Linked DNA regions of Mus musculus: all the other regions are reported to be linked to region 1. The links are microRNA targets in miRTarBase. Many come from high-throughput screens and were not tested one by one. Region 1 holds a microRNA gene; each other region holds the end of a gene's coding sequence.

Evidence for each region. The annotated mature microRNA mmu-miR-138-5p reads AGCUGGUGUUGUGAAUCAGGCCG and lies in region 1 at 1,561-1,583, shown strand. An mRNA with a match to its seed (bases 2 to 7 or 8) in the 3' UTR can be bound and repressed. Matches are read on the target gene's strand: a 7mer-m8 pairs with bases 2 to 8, a 7mer-A1 pairs with bases 2 to 7 and ends in A, and an 8mer does both.
Region 2: the mRNA of Glyctk is a reported target of mmu-miR-138-5p. Seed matches in the 3' UTR shown: 7mer-A1 at 2,758-2,764.
Region 3: miRTarBase lists Jun as a target of mmu-miR-138-5p. The part of its 3' UTR that is shown has no 7-base or 8-base seed match.
Region 4: the mRNA of Gas2l3 is a reported target of mmu-miR-138-5p. The part of its 3' UTR that is shown has no 7-base or 8-base seed match.

Annotation. Positions count from the first base shown.
Region 1 is chr8:94,322,752-94,326,652 of GRCm38, forward strand. It overlaps Mir138-2 (microRNA 138-2), which reads left to right and starts at 1,560; the gene lies at 1,560-1,630. It also overlaps a transcript of Nup93 not described here.
Region 2 is chr9:106,151,999-106,155,899 of GRCm38, reverse strand. Glyctk (glycerate kinase) reads left to right here. Exons shown (of 4, transcript NM_174846.4): 4 at 1-3,040. The coding sequence ends at 659. D030055H07Rik (a long non-coding RNA gene) reads right to left here. Exons shown (of 7, transcript XR_003948237.1): 3 at 3,147-3,744; 4 at 2,871-3,006. It overlaps Mir135a-1 (microRNA 135a-1), which reads right to left and starts at 1,776; the gene lies at 1,687-1,776.
Region 3 is chr4:95,047,082-95,050,982 of GRCm38, forward strand. It overlaps Jun (jun proto-oncogene), which reads right to left. Exons shown (of 1, transcript NM_010591.2): 1 at 1,955-3,901. The coding sequence ends at 3,186. Among named protein-coding and RNA genes, the nearest start is that of Jun, 3.2 kb to the right of the region's middle.
Region 4 is chr10:89,410,146-89,414,046 of GRCm38, forward strand. It overlaps Gas2l3 (growth arrest-specific 2 like 3), which reads right to left. Exons shown (of 11, transcript NM_001033331.2): 11 at 1-3,901. The coding sequence ends at 3,058. Among named protein-coding and RNA genes, the nearest start is that of Gas2l3, 32 kb to the right of the region's middle.

The sequences.
Region 1 (3,901 bases):
AAAAAAAAATTAAAAGGTTTGAACCTGGTGGTGCACATCTGTAATTCCAACACTTGGAAGGCAGAGGCAGGAAGATCACGAGTTCAAGACCACCCTGTCTTAAAATAAAAATAAAAAGGCCATCATAAGCCACATGGTAAAATCCCGTGTTTTTGTTTTGTTTGGGGACATGTGGCCTGAAAGTACTGTGTAGCTGAGGACAGCCATGAGCTCCAGATCTTCTGGCCTCTACCTCCTGAGTTCTGGGATTACAGGCATGTGCAACCATACCTAGTTTGAAACTGCTTTAACCAAACAACATAAAGCTTGTTTTAAAATGTACCTTTGGAATTCAAAATGAGACAGAATGGCCATATCTCCTCCCCCTCAGCCCTGGTCCGGGGGAAGAGTTTCCCAGAAAGTGAGAAAGCTGAAGAGACTTTTATAATGAAAGTCCAGACGTAAGAGACGCAGACAGCGCTGAGTCACTGGTTTCCTGGCAGAGTTGCTGGGATGGAAGAGTTTACCTGTTACTGGAAACCCGAGTTCTCTAGGTTTGCTATTTCAGTGTGTGTAGCTGCAGCAGCACAGAGCTCAGACCAGCCCTGCGTTGAAAATTCAGCTAAGCCTGCATGGAGGGCTAAGGGGTTGATGGAGCCTTACTGCCATATGAGACAAAAAATAAATAAATAAATAGAAGGAAAGTCAACTCTCACTCAGCAACCAGTGATCACTATTCAGGATTCTAGACTGCTGAGAAGCTTCAAGCTTAAATTACTGTTTCTTCTCTTTTCTTTGAGATATTACAGACACCTTATAGCATCCTTGCCCCAGACAGAAGAAGCCACCTTTTTTCTGAACCCATGTATTATTTTCTCCCAAGATTTTATGCTTTTATGCTTTGGATATGACTCGTGGTTTGGGATCCTGGGTTGCATGCCTCTGAGGGCACTGACATACTTTGTTCTTATGCCCCCAAACAGTTGCATTAAGTCTAATACATTCCTCACACCTATGGCGCCCCAAGGGGTAAATGGTGGCTAAACAGTTAGTCTACCCATGAAGGAAAAGAAGCCAGGAGTCCTTCCTCCCCTTGATCTTAGCCAGAAGGCCAAGAAACAGTCAGGAGTCCTTTCTTTAAGCATGCAGATAGATGTCTTAGTGTCTGCACATTTCCCTTTTACATCAGCTGGTCCAAGCTCAAGGCGCGTTGGTGTCCAGCTACTCTCAATACTGTCCAGGTAAAAGGACTAGAATTACAGCAGGCAAACCTTTGTGCTCTTCAAGGCTCTATGGGAATCCCAGCAGCTCAGCCCTATTTCTGGCTTTCCAGGGCTGCTGTGGACCTGGTATCTCTGTGTCTTCTCTGTCCCTACACTGAGTAGGGTTTGGATCTGTCTCTTTTCCGTGGAGTCATCAAGTCTGTAAGCCCCTTGTGGGCAGGGATCCGGCTCCTGGTTTGGCAATCCTAGACCTCTGCAGGGTTCTGGGCTTTCTACCTTCTTCGAACTGGAGGAGCCACGCCCCCAGGAAGAAGCCACGCCCCAGGAAGAAGCCACCCATTTCTGGTATGGTTGCTGCAGCTGGTGTTGTGAATCAGGCCGACGAGCAGCGCATCCTCTTACCCGGCTATTTCACGACACCAGGGTTGCACCCTACCCATCCTCTCCAGGCAAGCGCCGTGGGACCACAGGACACAGGAACTTGGGGACAGGGTGGGTTGGGACAACTGACTGTGAAAGGTGATGTTCAGTAGTCCATAGCCTCCCTATCATACCTCACCTCATAGTCACCTGGGAAGCTTTAGACAGATGCCAGGGTCTGCCCTCCCCTTGCTCAGCCCAAGCCCACAAAGGCTCTGAGGTGTGATCTCAGAGCCAGCGATCCTGAGAGGTTCTAATCCACGTGCAGCGAGGAGGAAGCAGGCGAGCCCAGGGCTCAGAGTTGAACTGCTCCCCTGTGCTTGGCTGACCGTGCAGTGGCATCTGCCGGCCCTCCCCAGTCCCACTCCTTTAGATTTGATGTACACCACCCAACTGCTGCTCCTGGTACCAAAACACCCAGGGCAAAAGCAGCTCCTCTTCCTGGCATCCAAAGCCCTTCCTGTCAAGGATTCCTACTCAGAGACATCTCTGTCCATGGAGCTCTCCCACCCCACCCTCCAAAAAGAAAAAAAACTGACTTCATACACAATGCTAATGCTATCATCTCTGTCTTCAGGACACGATACCCCATTGCCACTTGTAAATAGCTCTATGAGCCCCCGGGTTCCTTTTTTCACATGCACACCCTGCCTGCCTGGTCCTAACACACAGGCCTTCCTGCTCCGTTGGAAGCCCAAGCCACCTTTTGTCCAGGGCCTTTGCTCTTCCTGCCTACCTCCCCCACCCCATCCCCCACCCCCTTTGCAGTTCCTGCTCACATATGGGTGGCCAAGCTCAAGATTTGCATCCTCAGAGAGACCTAAGAAAAGCTTTATTTTCTTCATAGCACGTATCACTACGTGTATTTTGGTGATTGCTTGTCTGTGCATTGCTGCCTGTCTCGCCCTCTAGAATGTGAGCCCCCAGAGGACAGGGATTTGTTTTGGGGAGGGTGGGGGGTTGCTCAGCACAGAAAATCATATGTGTTATTACCTAATGATCGAGGTGGAATGGATAGATGACCCCTTCAGCCTGCTATCCCACCAATTCTCTGTCACCAGCCAACCCACCTCTTCCTCTGTCCCTGCCCACCTTTTCCCTCAGCCCCCATCTCCTGTGAGGTCCCTTTCTCTGCTGGTGCTTCATGCTCTAAGCTTCCAGGCTCAGAACCTGGTCTATATGAGAAACTTTTTGGAGGGGCCTCTGTGGCCAAGAAGATGGCAGGACTACTGTTGGGTAGCTATGATGTGCCCTCCTGTCCTTGTGGCTCAGCCAGAGGATATTGTTTCTGATCTGAGTCTGTCTGGTCCTTGGCTGGCCTTGGTACAGTGTGGCTCCCACCTTGCTGTTGTGGTGGGGAGACTTGCTCAGAGACACCCCTAAAACAAACAGAATGGAAACTCCTTGAGGTTCAATTCCAGGACTACTCAGAGTAGGGGTCCTATGTCCTCTCAGAAGCTGGATTCAGGATGTATGCCATTCCATTTTCAGGGCAGTCATTTTCAGGGTCTGTGCTTTGGCACAAGGTGTCAAACAGTCACCAACTGTCCTACTGATAAGCCCCTTAAGGGACCCAGCCTAAACCTCTTTCTACTCCAGAGAGTGCAGTGGGGCAGCAGGTTTGGGGAAGCAGCCCTACATCCCTTGCAGCTAACATGAGTGCTTTGCAGAAAGGAAGAACTTATGTGCCAAGGTCATTCAGCAATTTCATAGCCTCTTACTCCTGGCTGAAAACCAGCCCTGGCCTCTTCTATCCCAAGATCTTTATCAGGAATTTTCCGTAGCTGCCAGGGCACAGTGTGTTGGAATGGTGTGGGGATGCTGGGGAGCTGTGATTTTTGCCAGGTAGCTGGCGATTTAAAACTCAGAAGATAAGATCTACCCCAAGGGCCATGGACCTGCTGGGGGGTGGCGTGGGGGAGGCTTTACAAATCTCACCATCCCTGCCAAGGTAGAAAACTGGCCCGGAGGAGTCCTTGGCCCCTGAGTCCTTACTTCAAGCCTTCAGCCCTGCTGGAAGCTGGCAGAGGAAAGAAGTGTTTATGTCTTCCTCTGCCCGCCACTTAATGTCCAATAGAGGCAGGATCTGTGCCATGGGAATCCCCAAAGACCCCTTGTAAGCTCGTCTCCACCTGGCTTAGCTCTCCTTGGTTCTAGTCTCCATTCATTCCCTGTACAACCAACAAGCACTTATTGAGCCCGTGTCTGAAACTCTGGTTGGTTGAGATAGTCGCTGAACAATCTATTGTGCGAGGCCCCTGCCTCTGTGGCTGACTTCC
Region 2 (3,901 bases), not on the chromosome of region 1:
TCAATGTGATCATCGGCTCTAACTCTCTGGCGCTGGCTGAGGCTCAGAGGCAAGCCGAGGTGCTGGGCTACCATGCCATGGTGTTGAGCACAGCCATGCAGGGTGATGTAAAAAGAGTGGCTCGGTTCTACGGGCTGCTAGCCCGGGTGGCTGCAGCCCACCTCACTCCATCCTTGGCTGAGCGTCCCTTGGAGGAGGAGGCGGAACTCCATCAGCTGGCAGCTGAGCTCCAGCTCCCGGACCTGCAGCTGGAGGAGGCTCTGGAAGCGGTGGTAAAGGCTAAAGGGCCGGTCTGCCTCCTGGCTGGTGGTGAGCCCACGGTGCAGCTGCAGGGATCTGGCAAGGGCGGTCGGAACCAAGAACTGGCCTTGCACGTGGGAGTGGAGCTGGGAAGGCAGCCACTGGGACCTATTGATGTGCTATTTTTGAGTGGAGGCACTGATGGGCAGGATGGGCCTACAAAGGTGGCCGGGGCCTGGGTCATGTCTGATCTCATCAGCCAGGCTTCTGCTGAGAGCCTGGACATCGCCACCTCCCTCGCCAATAACGACTCATACACTTTCTTTTGCCGCTTCCGGGGAGGAACACATTTGCTGCACACAGGGTTGACAGGGACCAATGTTATGGATGTCCACCTCCTGATTCTTCATCCTCAGTGATGGTGTCGCTCACCGTGTGAGAGTGTAGAAGAGGCCTTCAAGGGCAGGGCCTCTTAGGAAGGTCAAGGGCCGATTCCCAGGCCCCACTGTGCCGCAGGACTTTTCCTCCGTTGCTCTGCCCGCCTCCCTCGGATCTACTCTATGCTTGTTCCCCCAACTAGATTAGAAGATGGGGGCTTCTTTCTACCCCTAGTTTCTGTCATGACAGCAGGTAGCCCTGAGGCCCAGCAGGAGCTTCTTGGCCAGTCACAGTTCTCATTTTCTCCCTGGATGCCTTCCTGCCCAGGTCCTCAGCCTGTCTCTTCCATGGAGCGAAGGTAGGGCACTGAAAATAAAGAGAATGTTGTGTGTGGGGGTCTCAGCTCATCTCCCCTCAGCACCTCTTTCCATAGCACAGATCCTCGGGGAGCTGCTGGGCAGGGACCCGTGGTGTGGCCCCAGCAGTGGTGCCAGTACCTTGAAGAGTTTCTCATACCCTTTTTGGCTGGGTGCACACTCAGGGTCTGCTGATGGCAATCTGTGACAATTGAATCTGTCTCCTAGCAGTGTCAATGTGGGTTAACAGGACAGGCTTATAGTTGCCTACTTAACCCTGACTCCCTGTGGTAGAAACCTGATCATGGTTTCTCCTCTCCTGCTGTTGCCTGACTGGGTGGAGACGATCCACTTGTCACCACGGCTCTTCCTTCTGTATTTGGACCACTCTCAGCTTTCCCCCTCACCCTCTGGCTATCAAGGGGTTTCTTCAGGCCGCAGGCATTGCACTTGTTCTCCTGTGCCCACTTTTCCCAGGCTAAACATTCCATGTTCCATTGTCGCTCCTCCGGGTACCCAGTTGGGACCCTGGTGCCAGCATTTCAGTGTGTGTCTCAGCACTAGAATGGTAGGTCAGAGCAGTGAAGGACCTCAGCAGTCCCTCACCCCATCCTGTCATAGCTGGCAGAGGTGAGTCACTTGGCTTGGCCTGCAGCCACTGGCCTGGTTTACCTCGAGCCCTCTTGTTCCACATCAGAGCCCTCTGTTGGCTTATCCTCACCGTACGCCACGGCTCCAATCCCTATATGAGCGAGCAATAGAATCACATAGGAATAAAAAGCCATAGAGAACAGTGAGGCCTGGGGCGGCCCCTGTGGGCCCTTCTTCCATCGTGAGGGTGTGAGGGGCTCTAGGTCAGAGCTGATGTGTCCTGGGAAGGGCCTCCCATCTCCACTGGGCTCTGGACAGTCTAGCTAGAAGTTGGGCCATGGCTTGCAGACCTGGCTCCTGTGTGTGTTCCTAAGACTGAGAAGGAGGTAAGCAAGGTGAGCTGGCTCTGAGGACCAGACAGGCTTAGGGAAGTGGAGTGGTTTGTACCATTTCTTTCCTTCTGTCCTTGTGCACAGGATCAGAGACTCTGGGGATTTTGTCTTTACGCTGGGGTTCTGGTATCCTCTAGGAGTGGCTCTGTCCCCGTGTTCTTGACCTTGGGAACGTATTCCCATTGGACACTGAGTTGCAGGCCAGAGCTTCAGGAGAAGAGCTTTTCAGCCGCATCCTTGGTGTCTCTGTGAGGTAAACACGTGAGCAGTGGACACTGGTGTCAGAATGCATCCACAGTGTACCCATGGGTGCTTTTCAGAGTAGGTTTGCTCGTGGGGACCACTGTCACCATTGCCTGCTGAGGGCTTCACATATAGGTAGAGTCTTTTTGTTGGAGGCTCCCCGTGTCTGCCTTGGTCACTTTCCTGTACCTATGCTCTCAGAGTCTGGGGGCCAGGGTCTGAATTGGGCCCCATTATAGCAAACAGTTTGTGGGCATAACCTTCTATATTTGCTCACCTATTTATCTGGTCATTCTAGATGATAGAAATAAACAAATTCCTCACAGTTAGAGCTCAATAGGACTGTTTTTTTTGTTTTTTTCTCTCCATCAATATCAAGTATGGAGCCAGGCCTGGTGCACAGGCCTATAATCCCAGGTACACGAGAGGACTCTCAGAGTATTGAGAGCTCATGGCTAGCCTGAGCTACAGAGTGAAAGCCAGCCTAGGCAACTAAGAGAGATCCCATTTTAAAGACCTTTAAAAAGGGTCGGGCAGTGGTGGTGCACGCTTTTAATACCAGCACTTGGGAGGCAGAGGCAGGCGGATCTCTTGAGTGTTTGAGGCCAGCCCAATCTACAGAGTGAGTTCCAGGACATCCAGTGCTACCCAGAGAGAACCCCTGTCTCACCAAGAACAGCAGCAGCAGCAGCAGCAGCAGCAGCAGCAGCAGCAGCAGCAACAACAACAACAACAACAAGAGGTCTGGGAATGTGGTCAATGATACTATTCTAGCATGTGTGAAGCCCTGGGTTGAGTTCCCAGCACTGAAAAATAAAATAAATAAATGAATGAATGGCTATATGCACATGTGTCTTACTAATTATGGATTATTAGAGACACGGCCCTCCTTTGGCTCTCAGCTGCCGTTTCTCCCGACTCAGGTTTTTGCTGGCCAAATCCTTACTTTGTCATCATGTGCTGATACTTTCCATGGCTTGAGGATTTTGCCACAATGGTGCTCAGGCCTCCTTCACATTAAAGCCTTCTCATTCTCTGCACTTGGCATGACTGTGGGTCTGGAGAGCCTTTCACGGTCAGCTTAGGTAAACCCATTTATCCTATGGCTGGAGAATTAGAGGAGATGGTTTATCAGGGACTGTAGAGCAAGTCAGTCACAGACCAGGGATGTGAACCTGCTTTGGGCTTTTGATACACATTCTCTGCTGCCCCCTGGGGCTCAGATACCATGGGGGCCAGCCCAAGGCGAAGCCAGAGTTAGGGGATGTGCCATTGTTTTCCATGTTGCCCTCAGTGGTTTGAGGATGGTGGCATGACCAGACTTAGCCTCTCCAGGGATCTGTAAAGCAGATTTGTTGGTCTCTTTGTGGTCTGGAGGAGCAGGGTGTTGAGTGGTTTAACAGGAGACCCCACGAGTGTGAATGGTGGGCATCTACATAAATGTGTGCACACACCTGAGTATGCATGTGTAGGGGTTTGTGTCCAACCAGTCACCGTGTGGACCTCCACACTGCTCTGCTCCATTCCAAGGTGTAGATGGTTTGCTGTGTTTAGAATTTCAGGAATATTGTGGGGCATGGTGGGTAAGGACACCTTAAAGGCTGGCAGAGGCAGGATGGCAAAGGGCCCCTCCCTCCCTCCCTCTCCTTCCCTCTCCCCTCTCTCCCTCTCCCCTCCTTCCCTCTCCCCTCTCTCCCTCTC
Region 3 (3,901 bases), not on the chromosome of region 1:
GTGTCAGGTACTGTACTAGGAACTTAAGGGTCCTCTGATTGACAGGACAGAGTGTTATGCCCGACACACAGACATTCACAGATGTTCACGTTTTCACATTTTGGTAAGTGTAATGATGCTCCAAAGGGGATTATTCATTCTACATGAACATTGGAAACCATGAACCATCTAGGAAAATTTCACAGAGAAGGTACCACTTAAGCCAAGTGTTCTAGTTACTCTTCTGTGGCTGAGACAACGCTCTCCAGCCATAAACAACCTGGGCAGGCAAAGGATTTATTTTGGCTCACACTTGCAGGTTGTAATCCATTGTTGAAAGAAATCAAAGTGTGAACTCAGACTAGGACAGCAAGTCCTCTGAGAACAGGTGAGAGTGATCATTTGAACCAGAATGCAAGTCTGGCCGGAGGGCAGAGTAGGATAATACAAGCAGAAGCCTGGAACTTTAAAAGGCCCAGAGACCTAGATCCATACAAAGATGCTTCTGATGCTCAACATGTTTCATCTGATTCAGGGCGTTGTGTCACTGAGCTCTTGGGAGGTAAAGAAAAGATAACAATATTTCCATGTGGGCATTTCTATTGATTACATAAACTCTCTGTCCTAATGGAGAGTTAATAGTCTATGAATTAATTATACATATGTACATATATTTATATAGATAATTAAGACAGAATTGATGACTTTATATGCCATTATCTTCATCCTAAGTGCTACCTAAAGTATAGCACACTGAAAGTCCATAACAGATTTAGTCATTTGTCTACAGTAATTAGCTGATTTTCTGCTTTTGCAGTTTACCATTATTGAATTTCCTTTTTTACCATTATTATTATTTTTTCTGCCTCTTTAGGTTAGAACAGTCAGAATTTCAGGTACATAAAATACTAGTTGAAAGGAACTAGTGTAAGGATAAGCTTGAAAACCTTTGAACTTTTTTGTTCTCTTTTCTTTTTAGCCACCTGGGGAGTGCTGCAGCATTTCTCCATTGTGCTGTTGTCAGAGGCTTAGTCTAGCCATGCAGGGTGATCAATTCCCTAGCCTGTGTGTGTTTTCTACTTTGCTCTTGTTTAGCTTCCACAGAGCCCCACCCTAAAGTGCTTTACTGTCCCTCTGCTATTCCTACATATGGTCAAAATCCACTCACCTTCTGGATTGCTGACTTCAGCAAATTCACTGTTTGGAAAAGTGCCTCGGCTCCCAGTAACTCCTTGTTCAAAGGAGTATTACTACAATGGAGTATGTCTGGTAACCCGCAAGCCTGTCGGAGCCTCTGCAGACCTAGCTGTACTCCTGAGGAAGTGAGAATTTGGATTTACCACCACAGGTACTCCTAGACCTGTTGAGCACTGGAGCAGGGCTAACAGCCAGGCTCCAATTAGTGGTTTGTGAAGTGTTTCTGGATATCAAATTGCTGCCGCTGCTTGATAATCACAGCAGCTCATGGGGATGAGAAGGGACGAAGCAAAAATTATTCCCTTGTTGAATACAAACCTGTTGATAACCTCAGCTGTATCTGTAGACACAGTTCAAGTTTTCAGTCTCCCCAGAGCTGAGGTTTGGATTACAGATGTTATATAATCAGTGTTGGGCCCATCTCTCTTGTGACTCTGTCCCATAGTATTTATAATAGGACTTTTCCAGACTGCCTCAATAATTAAGCCAGATTGATTATTTTGAAACAAATTAAGAAATAAACATGGATTTGTTACACTGGTCACTTCCTTGGTTGTGAGGTCACCCTGGAGGGGTGAGGGGTGGGGAGGGTGGCAAGTGGGAATTGGGAGAGGGTCGGGAGAATAGTTCAACCAGGCCCCAGCTTCTCCTTCTACTCTTTCTAAATGCTTTGCTTCTAAATTGCTAAGTGTAGAATGCAATAGCACTAACCCCAGAAACTTGGAAAACCCCCAGTATACGGCTTAGGAAGCAAAGATTAGCAAAGGGAAAGGAAATTCAAGATTTTAAAAACCATTATTTGAATACATTTATTGTGATAACGAACGCTATTATAAATATGCACAAGCAAAGGTCATCTTTTTCTAGGAGTTGTCAGATTCAAAGTTGGAAGGAGACACCTTTTGTTAAAAACTTCCATGGGTCCCTGCTTTGAGAATCAACAGCTAATTACTAAATCTTTCCTATGATTATAAATGATCACAGCACATGCCACTTCATACAGCTTTCAACCAAAGTGTCTGCTTTCCAGCGGGCTGACCCTCTCCCCTTGCAACAGCCCTTCTTCCAGCCTTAAGAAACACCACACCATCTTCTGGTGTACAGTCTGGACTTGTGTGTTGCCGGGGGAGAGAGTATGAGCCAATGATAGCATGCAGGGTATCTATTCCTACAATCAGACAGGGGACACAGCTTTCACCCTAGTATATTGGGCACTCAGCTGTCACTTCATCTAGCTATCATTATCTATGGATAATGCAGCAAAGAGGTTGGGGGCTACTTTTCAATAGTTTATTGTATTTTCTTAAATATCCTTTCTGGAAATTTTCAGAAACAAAACATAAAAAAATTATATACTTTATTACAAATGGTAAACTCAGAATGCTTCAAATCTCTTATTTACAAACACTGGGCAGGACACCCAAACAAACAAACATGGAATAACTTACAAAGGCAGGAAGCTGTTTATTGACAGTAATCAGCTTTCATCAAATTAAAAAAAAATATATATGTACATACACAGTTGAGAGAGGCAGGCCAGGGGAGTTCATCTGCAGTCTAGCCTGGCACTTACAAGCCTCCCCCCCCTTCCCAGCCCTCCCTGCTTTGTGTTAAGGAGCACTACAGAAGCAATCTACAGTCTCTATTGCAGTTTGTAACCCCTCCCACCCCCCTTTAATACTGAATGAGATCGAATGTTAGGTCCATGCAGTTCTTGGTCAATGTTAACGAAAAGTCCATCGTTCTGGTCGCGCGCGGGCACAGCCCGTCCGCAAAGTCTGCCGGCCAATAGGCCGCTGCTCTCTGGCTCCACGCCAAAGCCAGGCGCGCCACGTCCTTCCCACTCCAGCACACTGGGGGCGCCGTCAGGTCGCAACCCAGTCCATCTTGTGTACCCTTGGCTTCAGTACTCGGACACTTTTTTTTTCTCTGTCGCAACCAGTCAAGTTCTCAAGTTTGTCTCTGTTATTTTTTTTCTTCCATTGCCCCTCAGCCCTGACAGTCTGTTCTCAAAACGTTTGCAACTGCTGCGTTAGCATGAGTTGGCACCCACTGTTAACGTGGTTCATGACTTTCTGCTTAAGCTGTGCCACCTGTTCCCTGAGCATGTTGGCCGTGGATGCCAGCTCGGAGTTTTGCGCTTTCAAGGTTTTCACTTTTTCCTCTAGCCGAGCGATCCGCTCCAGCTTCCTTTTCCGGCACTTGGAGGCGGCAATGCGGTTCCTCATGCGCTTCCTCTCTGCCTTGATCCGCTCCTGAGACTCCATGTCGATAGGGGACAGGGGCGGCGTCTCTCCCGGCATCTCCGGCACGGTCTGCGGCTCTTCCTTCAGGGCTTGCAGCCGCGGGTGCTGCACCGGGATCTGTTGGGGCAAGTGGTGCGGCGGCTGAGGCGGCTGCTGCTGCTGCTGCGGCTGCGAGGGAAAGGCCAGCCCGGCCGCGCCATAGGAGGGCGCCCCACCGCCGCTGCTCAGCGCACCCGGGTTGAAGTTGCTGAGGTTGGCGTAGACCGGAGGCTCACTGTGCAGGCTGGCGCTGTAGCCACCACCGCCGCCAGCGCCTGCTACTGAGGCCACCGCGGGAGCCACCATGCCCGCCCCGCTGACCGGCTGTGCCGCGGAGGTGACACTGGGAAGCGTGTTCTGGCTATGCAGTTCAGCCAGGGCGCGCACGAAGCCCTCGGCGAAGCCCTCCTGCTCGTCGGTCACGTTCTTGGGGCACAAGA
Region 4 (3,901 bases), not on the chromosome of region 1:
AAAAGAAGTGAGTACAACTGCATTATACTTGTTTTTTAAATTGTGGCAAAGATTTATCAGCTCCTTTAGAAAATACCAAAATACATCAGAAAGAATTTAACTTTTTTAATTTGGGAGGGAAAGATATTTACTAATTGATTGATTGCATGTATGAATGTTTTGCCTGTATGTGTGCAATATGAATGCCTGGTGCCTGTGTTCTGGAGGCCAGAAGCGAGCATCAGATACCCTGAAACAAGAGTTCTGGATGCTTGTGAGCCACCCCGGGAGTGCTGGAAATAGAACTCAGGTTCTCTGCAAGAATACCAAGTGTTCTGAGTTGCTGAGTGTTCTCTCAGTTCCCATGGAACTGAATTACTTATTCACATACAACCTATGCTTAGGAAAGACAAGGTACACACACAAAGAAATTCACCCTATATGACTACAGTTGGAGAAATGCTACTGAACAGCAGACAAAAACAAAAAACCCAATCTTTATCTTAAATAAATAATCCTAAAGTTAATTCGGGAATTTGTGCCAGGTGTCTGAGAATATCTTTATTCTTGATTACCCAGCACAAAAGATAATGTTTATAAAACTGTACAATGTACTGAGTCATAGGTTTAGTCTGCCTATAGTGTAATTTATATTTTTCTTTTAATTCTCAGAAGTTACTGATCTAGAAATAGTTTCGGCGGCCCTCTCTATGAGGGAATAGCCTCTCTAAAGCTACAATCCTTCCTCTCTGAAAGGTGTGTTAGATATTCCTGATTACAGAAATGCCCCTGGCATCTCTTTTGAGTGCTAAGAGGTGCTTTCAAAGATGTACATATTGCCATTAGTGATGCTCAGAACCGGAACGTTTGGCAAGTTTTTGGTGGTTTTCTGTTGTAAGGGATCCTGAGTAGATCTTTGATTTTATGCATACTGCTTGGGTAAAGATCCAGTGGTCTTTACCCAAGGTTCTCTTGCTGTATGTAGGTCTAGAGAATGCCAGCAGCCAGCCACGATGCTCACTCATTCAATGATGGCAGGTCTGGGTCAACTATTTTGTTTGTGTTAGAAACCGTATTTGAAGGGGCCGAGGAGGAAGCTCAGTCGCAATGCTTATCTATCAATGTAAGACACCATAGATCCTCAGTCTCACAAAGAAAAGAAAGGAAGAGGAGGAGGATGGAAAGCAGATTTTAAAGGGAGGGCATCTGAGTTATAAAAGAGGAGTCAAAGTGACAATTTTTTTTGAGGCGTGTCTCTAGTGCATAGCTGAACATGACCTTGAATTTCTGATCCTCCTGCCTCCACTTTCCAAGTAATGGAATTACAAGCGTGTACCTCTTAGACCTGCTTTTCCTTCCTACAACTTAGGATAACTGGTAATACCATAGTTACTTAACACCCTTAAAAGTTCCCAAAGTACATTAATAAACTTTAAATAGTGACAAGCCTGTACATAAATCATTTACAAGTATCCCTGTGGGTGGAAGGTGTTTATGCTGTCATGAAATCATTGGATATTCCTGACGAGAATCTGCCTACAGAACAGAAGGTACACTGTCTGCTGGGCACTGGAAAACTGAGCACAACATGGCCTTACTAATGAAGATGAACATAATCTGGAGACTAATTAAAATCGACAGTGTGCTAGCAAAAGAAATACAAGTCACCTGATGAGATGTGTGCATAGCATCACACAAAGGTTCTCTTAATACCATCTTAATCTTTTGTACGCGTCAATATATGTGGTGTGCATGCATGTATGTGAGTCTGTGTGTATATATGCATTCATAGGTGTGTGTGCGTGTGTGTGTGTGTGTGTGTGTGTGTGTGCATATGTGAACAGGATATATGTATGAGTCTGTACATAGAGAGAACAGACATTGACTTTGGGAATCTTCCTTTTTTACTAAGGTAGGGGTGGTCTCTCAAAAGAGCTGCCTCTCATCCATCGGCTCCTCTCGCCAGCCAGCTTGTCCCAGGAAATCCTGTCTCTTCCTCCTGAGTGCTGGGACTACAGGCAGACCATCAAGCCCACCCAGATTTGTATGTAGGTATGGGGACACAAACTCCAATCCCCATGCCTGTACTAGACATGACTTATCCATTGAGCCACCCCCCATCCCTTTTAATTTTAAGATCATTAAAACCTAATTCTGGTATCAAAACACATTATTTTAATGAAAAAATTTATATGTACATATAGGAAATGTCTATTTAAAATATCTTAGTATGCTAAAAGCTATTAAATGTTTCCCTGTCACACTGCACAGACTTCATCTAAAAATATAAGATACAAAGTGTCTAGATTATATATATATATATTTTTTTTTTTTAAAAAACTTAATTCTTACTAAATTTCAGCTTATGATTCAATAAGTTAACTTACTTGGTTGAGTTTTTTTTTCTTTTTATCAAAAATATTGGTTATAAAATGATACAGTATTAAAAAGCCAAGTTTAATTAAAAAACCAAATAGTCCCTTCTGATACGGAAATATTATAGAGATTTAAATAGTAAGAATTCCATTTAATCCAGAATAATATCAAAGTAAACAGCAGGAGCCATTGGTACTTAGGATTGCTGGACCAGGATTCCTGACCAATAAATTAGGTGCCTATTACAGCACATTTCAAAACCTTGCTGGCTTCTACTGTGTACCCCTGCCTCAGCCTTCGGAGCTGGGATTACAGGCACACACTAGCGCCAAGCAAACCATTGCTTTGTGGCTGAGCACAGTAACTAGTGTTTAAGAGTATCGGAGTTGCTATTAGCAGATAACCTCCACAGTTAACCTGTGTTCAAAAATATACCACCAATAGTTAAAATTCTAGTAGTGTTCTTGGACTTTTACACTTCCCTCAAACAGCAGACATCATTAGCAAGATGATACAGGTCAAAACTCACACATTTGTCCATTGATACACAAAATGCATGGGTCCTTTCCCTGACCCAGCTTCATCCCATCTTGACTTCATGTCTGCAGCTCTCCGGACAGACACAAATAGGAAGATCTTTGGTGATCCTTGTGGCTCGCCATTCATTGATCACCCTGATTTGCTGAAACGATACAAGTGTATTTATTTCCTAAGCTTCTTATTTCCGGTCATAACAAAATAATGGTCATCTTCTTCCTTCTTCCTGGCAGTGGGCATTTTATCTCCGCTGTCTGCCCCCTTACCAGATGAGGGTGGGTCCCTGAAGGAAGTTGGTGGCTTGCTGCTTTTGGGAGGCCCTTTAGCTGAGTACTGGCCCTTCATGGCAGTCTTGGCTGACTTCGAGACAGTTTCTGTCTTGGTAGCAGATTGGGGAACAGTCACAATAGACAGCGGGGTACGGCCAGGAGACTTTGAAGAGCCAGGTCCCGGATTCCGGCAGACACCCTTACTCTGAGGTTGCTTTTTGGCAACTGAAACTGTATTCTTACCTTTCGATCCCTGAGTAGCTTTTGCAGAGGACCCTGAGCACACAGAAGCTGGACTGTTTAAATTCAATGTAGACTGAAGTCTTTGTGCTGAGACTGCTCCTGACCTCGGCGTTCTAGTGGGTGGCTGAGACTGTGTCCCTAGACCTATGGCTCCGGTTTTAGAACTGGGCTTGGTCACTTTGGCAGGTGGCTGGAAAGGAGAAGGGTTAGGCCTTCCGTGCATGGCTCCTTTAGGTAGCTTTGGGGACTTGGATGATAAGTTTATACGTGACTCATCCCTAGAAGAAAGATGATTGTGTTTCAAATGCTTTGGTTCCATTTTTCCAGGAGATTTACTTGGTAAAAGTCTGGACTTAGACAGATCTCTTGAATTCTGGGCTGGAATAGCCTTGGTCTGTGCAGTCTTGGGGAAGGTGACACATTTTCGCGATGACTCTGAGGCACACTGTGCAGTGCTTGGTTTAGACCCTGGATTTGGAGAAGCCAGGGACTGCGAT